Linked DNA regions of Macaca mulatta. Each later gene encodes a partner of the first gene's protein in a complex. Links are inferred from orthologs where the notes say so. Each region holds a gene or a part of one and is shown on either strand. Other genes may lie near its edges.

The links.
Region 2: the proteins of KCND2 (region 1) and KCNIP2 are in contact, whole or in part, in a cryo-EM structure (PDB 7UKH), measured with the Homo sapiens proteins. The link is inferred for Macaca mulatta from reciprocal best matches to the Homo sapiens genes KCND2 and KCNIP2. Residues at the interface, in NP_036413.1 of Homo sapiens: Val5, Ala7, Trp8, Leu9, Pro10, Phe11, Ala12, Arg13, Ala14, Ala15, Ile17, Gly18, Trp19, Met20, Pro21, Val22, Ala23, Ser24, Gly25, Pro26, Met27, Pro28, Ala29, Pro30, Trp55, Asp57, Arg61, Arg100; in NP_775283.1 of Homo sapiens: Arg112, Gly113, Phe114, Asn116, Glu117, Cys118, Val123, Phe128, Ile131, Tyr132, Gln134, Phe135, Phe136, Tyr144, Leu148, Phe152, Phe165, Leu169, Ile172, Leu173, Arg180, Trp183, Ala184, Leu187, Tyr188, Met201, Met205, Ile208, Met211, His228.

What each region holds. Positions count from the first base shown.
Region 1 is NC_133408.1:160,514,243-160,517,894, forward strand, and holds part of KCND2 (A-type voltage-gated potassium channel KCND2), read left to right. Parts: intron 1-47; coding exon 48-295; intron 296-1,953; coding exon 1,954-2,131; 3' UTR 2,132-3,652. UniProt on the Homo sapiens protein: Voltage-gated potassium channel that mediates transmembrane potassium transport in excitable membranes, primarily in the brain. Mediates the major part of the dendritic A-type current I(SA) in brain neurons.
Region 2 is NC_133414.1:113,910,950-113,914,155, forward strand, and holds the end of KCNIP2 (A-type potassium channel modulatory protein KCNIP2), read right to left. Parts: exon of another isoform or gene 3,069-3,206; coding exon 2,998-3,068; exon of another isoform or gene 2,868-2,997; coding exon 2,760-2,867; intron 2,603-2,759; coding exon 2,498-2,602; exon of another isoform or gene 2,469-2,497; intron 2,362-2,468; coding exon 2,299-2,361; coding exon of another isoform or gene 2,251-2,298; exon of another isoform or gene 2,113-2,250; intron 2,011-2,112; coding exon 1,963-2,010; 3' UTR 580-1,962; downstream 1-579. UniProt on the Homo sapiens protein: Regulatory subunit of Kv4/D (Shal)-type voltage-gated rapidly inactivating A-type potassium channels. Modulates channel density, inactivation kinetics and rate of recovery from inactivation in a calcium-dependent and isoform-specific manner.

The DNA of each region.
Region 1 (3,652 bases):
TAAAACGTGCTTCTCTGTTTCTTCATTTACTTACAACTGTGGAACAGAATCACGAGTTTGTGGACGAACAAGTCTTTGAAGAAAGCTGCATGGAAGTTGCAACTGTTAATCGTCCTTCAAGTCACAGTCCCTCACTGTCTTCACAACAAGGAGTCACCAGCACCTGCTGTTCACGACGACACAAAAAAACTTTTCGCATCCCAAATGCCAACGTATCAGGAAGCCATCGAGGTAGTGTACAAGAACTCAGCACGATTCAGATCAGATGTGTGGAGAGAACGCCTCTATCTAACAGGTACCTGAGATTAATCTGTGTTGTCTGCACACCTGTGCTGGTTCCCAGGGTGTGTCTTCTGCACTCATGTTGTCACATATGTGGCATCTAAATTCCTAGCTCCTATGGTTCAGGAAGAGACAAAACTGGTAGTGTAACAAGTAGGAAAGTGGTTCTACTTGCATATCCATTAAGGGTTAAAAGTAGCAGTTATATCAATATTCAAAGAGTCAAAAGAAGGAAACATGATTGGGTGGACACAAATGTGTTTTTCTCTCTTCTGCTCCACAACCTTTTCTTTCTTGGGCAAGGACTTTTATACTCAGGATTCTCTTATATATTCAATAGCCTGAAATGATGGTGGACACTACTAAAAGAGTCAAATGAAATTGAGATCAACATGGCTAAAAGTTATTTAACAGCATGTAAAAATATACAAACACACTCTCTGTAGCAGTAAAAATGAAAACTTTGCCTACACAAATCATTTATATCAATATATAATTTTGATCAGAAAGATATTTTTGGCCATATCAAACACAAAATCAACATAATACAAAAATAAGTGAAGTACTAAAATTGTTTGCCTCTGGTTAGTTCATGAACAAGTTAAGTAAAACTTCCGTATTGATATTTTTGCTTTGCTTTTCCTTATTCACTGTCTTTACCACAAATGTGTAAAACGAAAAAGTAGTACACTTAAACAATATATGTCATTAAAATATAAGTTTCTGCCAAAATAATTTTATTCTGTTTTCAAATTGAATAGCATATGTTTTTAGTGTTAGAGTCTGTAAATTCAGTCCCCTTCTTTCTTGGCATTCAAAAGTCTTTGTTGAAATCTGGATGAGATTCTGAATTCAGGTGATGTCGATTTACATAAATTGGATGTCTCTGGGACTAGAAAATTAAACTTAGGAGCCATAAGACTTCTATCTTAAAGATATTTTAGCTTTGCAGCCTTATATCCTTTATAAAAGGAAGTCAACAATGGAAAAGTATCGAGCAAGAAAATCTTAGGACATAAACATCTTAATTATGTTTTCCATGAAAATAAAATAATTAGGTTCAAGCTTCTGTGTATATCCTTCTCTCTCATTTCCCTTTTATCCGCTTCTCCATATAGAGTATACAATTCATCCAAGAATACCATTTGGGAAAACCTTAAAGTATTAGATAGTAATAGATAAATTTTTTGATTTTTATAATATGTGGTCATCATTAAGTTGAGAGATTTGAGGGCATTATACATCCCAAAAAGACATGAAAATAAAAATATTCTGTGGTCAAAAGAATTAAGAAATCAATGTGATATGGCTCTTTCATAGTGGTTTCTCAAACCTCTTAGAGGTCCTGTCTTAAATAAAACTACTTTGTTCAGCCCAGGCTGTCCAAATCTTACTTGATGCTCTTTCTTTCTTACATTTTTTAATAATACTTTTAGTTTGATAAACACTTGATGGAACCAAGTGAAACTGTCTTTTAGAAATTTATTTAATGTTAATTACTGACTATATTCATCTTTAACATAGATTAAGATTTGGGGTTTGATATTTTTAATTATAATAACTTTCCTTAGACAATTAAAATGTTTTTATAAGCATTACAACACATATTCCTCAGTTGTATGAAAAAAATTTAACTAAACAACTTACTTTCTTAATTTTTTTTTCTATCAGCCGATCCAGTTTAAATGCCAAAATGGAAGAGTGTGTTAAACTAAACTGTGAACAACCTTATGTGACTACAGCAATAATAAGCATCCCAACACCTCCAGTAACCACACCAGAGGGAGACGATAGGCCAGAATCTCCTGAGTACTCAGGAGGAAATATTGTCAGAGTTTCTGCTTTGTAAGACACTTGGAATAGGGTTTAAGAGAATTTGAGTCCTGGCTGTGAAAAGAATCTCAACGTAGAAGAAAGAAGAAACTAATATTCTGCAGATTAAGGCAGCAAAGCAAGAAGGTTGGAAATGAAACAAAAACAAAGCTTCCAATCTTAAGGATGTGAATAAAACCACCAAATGGCATTTCTAGACAGTTTGACCTGTTACACAGAGTAATATTCTGTGGCCCTTTGACTTTGTGAATGAGCACAATGAAATGCCGCCTATTGATGCTTCTTATGATCAGAACTCTTTTTTAATAAAATAAATAAAATAAATCTTTGAACATAATGTTCCAGTTGAATGCAAAACAAAAAAAATATGGAAAACATTTTGATAAAATTTTTTCCTGTTAAAACCATGAACATTGGCTATGATGAAGATTATTACATATGAAAAAAAAAACACAACATATTTGTATTGACTGAAGGAAACCATCATAATGCATGCTAGAATTCTTTGAAGCAGTGATCTCAGTTTCTTTATGTTGTCTTCAGAATAGGCATGATAAACTATAATTGTAGAAAGGGGTAATTTCTGTGCACTTACAACAAGCTGAGTGTTCATGTTCCATGGTGGGCTGTGCAAATAAACTCCTTTTAGAACTGCAGTATTTCTCATGGGGATACTCATTAGTAAATCTAAAGTGTTCAGATAGTTCAGTATTAATTATCGTTTAACTTTGCACCTAGATACTGTTACAACTGCAATAATTCATTGTACAACTGTTGTATCAGGAATCAGGATTTTTCTGTTGTTGTACTTTCCAGATCTTTATAGATACGGTAGGAGCCACGTTCGTAGAAAAACTTCTGGTGTGGCCAGGTTTTAGGTAACTTTTTAATCCAAAACTATTGTGCCATAAATGTTTTTCAGTAATATTCTTTGGTCCACTGTATTCCTGTGACAGTGCATTATCTGTTCTTGTATTTCTATAGCACCTTTCTATTGGGTTTATCATCATCAACAAGACTAATGTTTACTGTAGTTCAAGTGACTTTCCTACTTTTGTATTTCAAAAAAAAAAAAAAATTATCTTGTAAGTAGATTGTCCTCAATCCCCTTGTCAAAAATGAGAAAAAAAAGGAGTTGACCCATGTGAATTATCACTAACGTCTTTGTTGTTTATGGAAAAGCCCAGATACTGGATCTATCACTATGTATTTTATGAAAAGAATTGACTGGGACTAATATCACAGGATCGGTCATCTCAGAATCTTACTTGATGTATTATTTATTTTGCCTCAGATCTTGAATACATTTTGAGAATAACTAATGTGGATTGAAATGTAGAGATAAACTAGAGGGCTTTATTGAGCAATATTTGATGAAAGCATGCTTTCTACACCATTCAGGAAGGCAGCACAAATTTATCTCAGAAAAGTTCCTGTGTATTGCGAGGTACAATTTTCTCCAATAAATCAGGAGGACAGGAGTTTGATGATGCAAAGTTGATCTCTGTACATTTAAGTGAAAAGTTTTTATAACTTT
Region 2 (3,206 bases), on another chromosome or scaffold:
CTGTCTCTACTAAAAATACAAAAATAAGCCGGGCATAGCAGCGCACGCCTGTAATCCCAGCTGTTCGGGAAGCTGACGCCGGAGAATTGCTTGAACCCAGGAAGCGGAGGCTGCAGTAAAGCCGAGATCTGGCCACTGCACTCTAGCCTGGGCGAAAGAGAGAGATTCCATCTCAAAAAAAAAAAAAAAAAAAGAAGAAGAAGAAGAAAAAAAGTAAAGGGAGCCCCCTCAAAAGAAAGCACTTTGAGATTAACTAAAAAGTCTGTAAATTAGAAATCTGTGATTCAACTTGTAAGAATGTCAGCTAAAAAACAGCTTGCTTGGCACAGTCTTTGGGACATCAGTGTCCTGTCCTTCCTTCCTTGTCTCCTCTCAGGCTGTGTGGGAGGGAGATTCATGTGGGGGCCTGAGGTTCGGTGGGTTTCCAACCATTCCAGAGCCTATGTCTCAGTCTCATGCCAAGGTATGGCCAACTATGGAAAAGAAAGCTACTTTCCTGGGGATCTAAAAGGCTGCAGGTGCATGAGTTAGGGGTTGTGTAGTATTTGTAGGTGGGAGGGACAAAAGGCAGAGACGGCAGCCTGTGCATAGCCATTGTGTTTTATTAGATCTGGTATAGTTCTTATTTTACAAAATATATAGAAGAGCCCAAAATGCAAAGCAGTCAACAGTCTTCTGATGGGGAAGGGGGCTCTCTGGGGGCCCTCCCCTCAGATTCTGGCTGACTGGGAGGGTAAGCTGAATGGGACGAGCAGGTGTGCTAAGGGATGGCAGCATGGCTGGGGTGCTGACAATGGGGTTGGAACCTGGGTCCTATGGTCCCTGCCCTCTGAGTGTGCTAAGGGGCATCTCTGGGTAGATTGAGTAGAGCAAGAGGAGACTCTAGGGAACTGAGGAGGTTATCTGGGGGGTTGGGGAGAGCCCGGGTTGATTGAAGATCCTAGTGAATGCCCCCACACTGGGTTCAGATGCTATGCCTGCCTCCCTCCTTCCCTCTCCCTTCTAAGGCATCCACTGTGGGGAGTGATAGGCCCCAAGTTCAGGAAGGTCCCAAGTCTATAGAGAACATGGGAAACAAAAACTCAAGTCACAGCCCTCAAAACAGGGGCGATGAGCAGGGAGGGTGGGATGAAACTTTGGCAGGCATCAGCCAGGACATCTCCTATCCACATTCCCCTGCCACAACCACCACCAACACATGCAGGAAGGAAGGAGAGGAAGCAATGCCAGGGATATGCCAGATATCTAGCCCCAGGCTCTCCATGGATATCGAGGAGGGTATGGAAAATATCTGGGGCATTTCCAAGGAGACAAGGTCTTCTGCAAAGCCTGGAAACTTATATTTTGATGGCCTGTGGTAGCAGACCTGTGGAACTTGGAGCTATAACCTGGTATGCCTGAGCAATCACATTGTGTCCAGGCCTTTCTATTCTCAACCCCAGCCACCTCCTAGGACCTATCCATTGACTCAGGCCCAAGATTTCTCCCCTATACATTCTTGTCCCCCTCCCACAGGGCTCTCAAAGGCTGGTCTGAGAAGCCAGCCAGTGCCAAGAATGGAGCATTCTCTCTGAGAAGGGAGTTTTAGGGGAAATGTTTATGAAGTCAGGGATGGGGGAAGCACCATAGCAGGAGACATCTGTCTAGTGTGTTTCTAGAGTGGGGGTAGGAGGTGGGGAACCACTCAGTTCCTACAGGAGGGGCACTCTCAACACTGGGTGTCAGGCAGGAAGCGGGTGAGAGCTGGTGGAAGTTGGGAACACCCCCCAAGATGCACTCTGCCCACTCTCTGGCCCCTTCAGCTCCAGAGATCTGGACTACTGAATCCCCAAGCTCTTGGATCCCTCCAGCCCCCAGGGAGGCCTAGGACAAGGATAGACCTGGGAAGAGAAGGGTGAGGTCCACCTGGACTAGGGTTAGAGCATGGTCCCCCCAGGAAACACTGACCCCCTCTCCTGGGGGCTAGATGACATTGTCAAAGAGCTGCATGGACCTCATGATGTTCTCATCCTGTGGCCATGGTGTGAGCGAGGCAGATTGAAGAGACAGAAAGAGAAGGAGCTTATCAGAGACAGGGAGAGGGACACTGAGTCACAGATGGGGACATTCAAAGGCACAGAGGAAGGAGATGCCCAGAGAGACCTGAGGTAGGGAAGGGGTAAGCCTCCCACAAAGGAATAGGATTGAAATGTGGGGGTGAGATGGGGAGGTGGTATTCTGCCCAAAGAAGTTTTTCCCTACATTACTAAATCAGGCCTGAGTCCAGGTCAGGGTAATGTCGAGGGCAGGGAGCTGTACCTTTTGACAAGACTCAATGAATTCCTCAATGGTCACCACGCCATCCTTGTTTCTGTCCATCTTCTGCAAGAAGGTGGTCAGGCAGGGAGAACAGGAGGGATGGGCAAGAGAGGCAGACAGAAGTCAGGTGAGTTCCCTGCTGGTTCTTGGTCTCCTTCTCTTCACTCCAGGGCCCTCCAGCCTACCCAGTCCCAAGTACCTGGAAGAAGTTCTCCACATGTTCCCTTGGGGCCTCCTCCCGGAGTGCAGGGTATGTGTACTTGCCCATCATGTCGTAGATGGACTTCATGATGTCAAGCATTTCCTGTTAGGCCAAGAGACAAGAGGATGCTTCCTCAGAGCCTCCAGCCTCCCTTGATCCCTTGCTTGTGGGCATATATGGGTCATATTTCCCTCCCATCACCCTCTGCACACCACCCCCATCAGTGCCACAGCCCCCCAGCCCTTCAGTTGCCCTGCACCTCCTTGGTGATGCAGCCATCCTTGTTGAGGTCATACAAGTTGAAGGCCCAGTTAAGCCTGTCATCTACAGTTCCCCGAAGAATCACGGACAAACCAGCCACAAAGTCCTGGGAAGGAGGCAGGAGGGAGCTGTGTCTTCAGGTACTCTTCACCCAACCCCTTCCCTGGGTTTGGCCTGGAGATCCTGGCCCTGAAGTCCAGGAAACAGGCTTCCCTGGCCCACCTCGCCCAGCTCACCTCAAAACTGACCGAGCCATCATGGTTGGTGTCAAAGGCATTGAAGAGAAAAGTGGCATAGGTGCTGGAGTCTGCAGGGTGAGTGTGGAGAAGTTGGCTTCCACACAGGAGAGGACTTCCTCCTTCTATGGAGCTCCCCATACCCCCCATCACCTTGGCATTCCCAGCCCCTCCAGAATCCCTCCCTCCCTCAGCCTAGAGAAGGACAG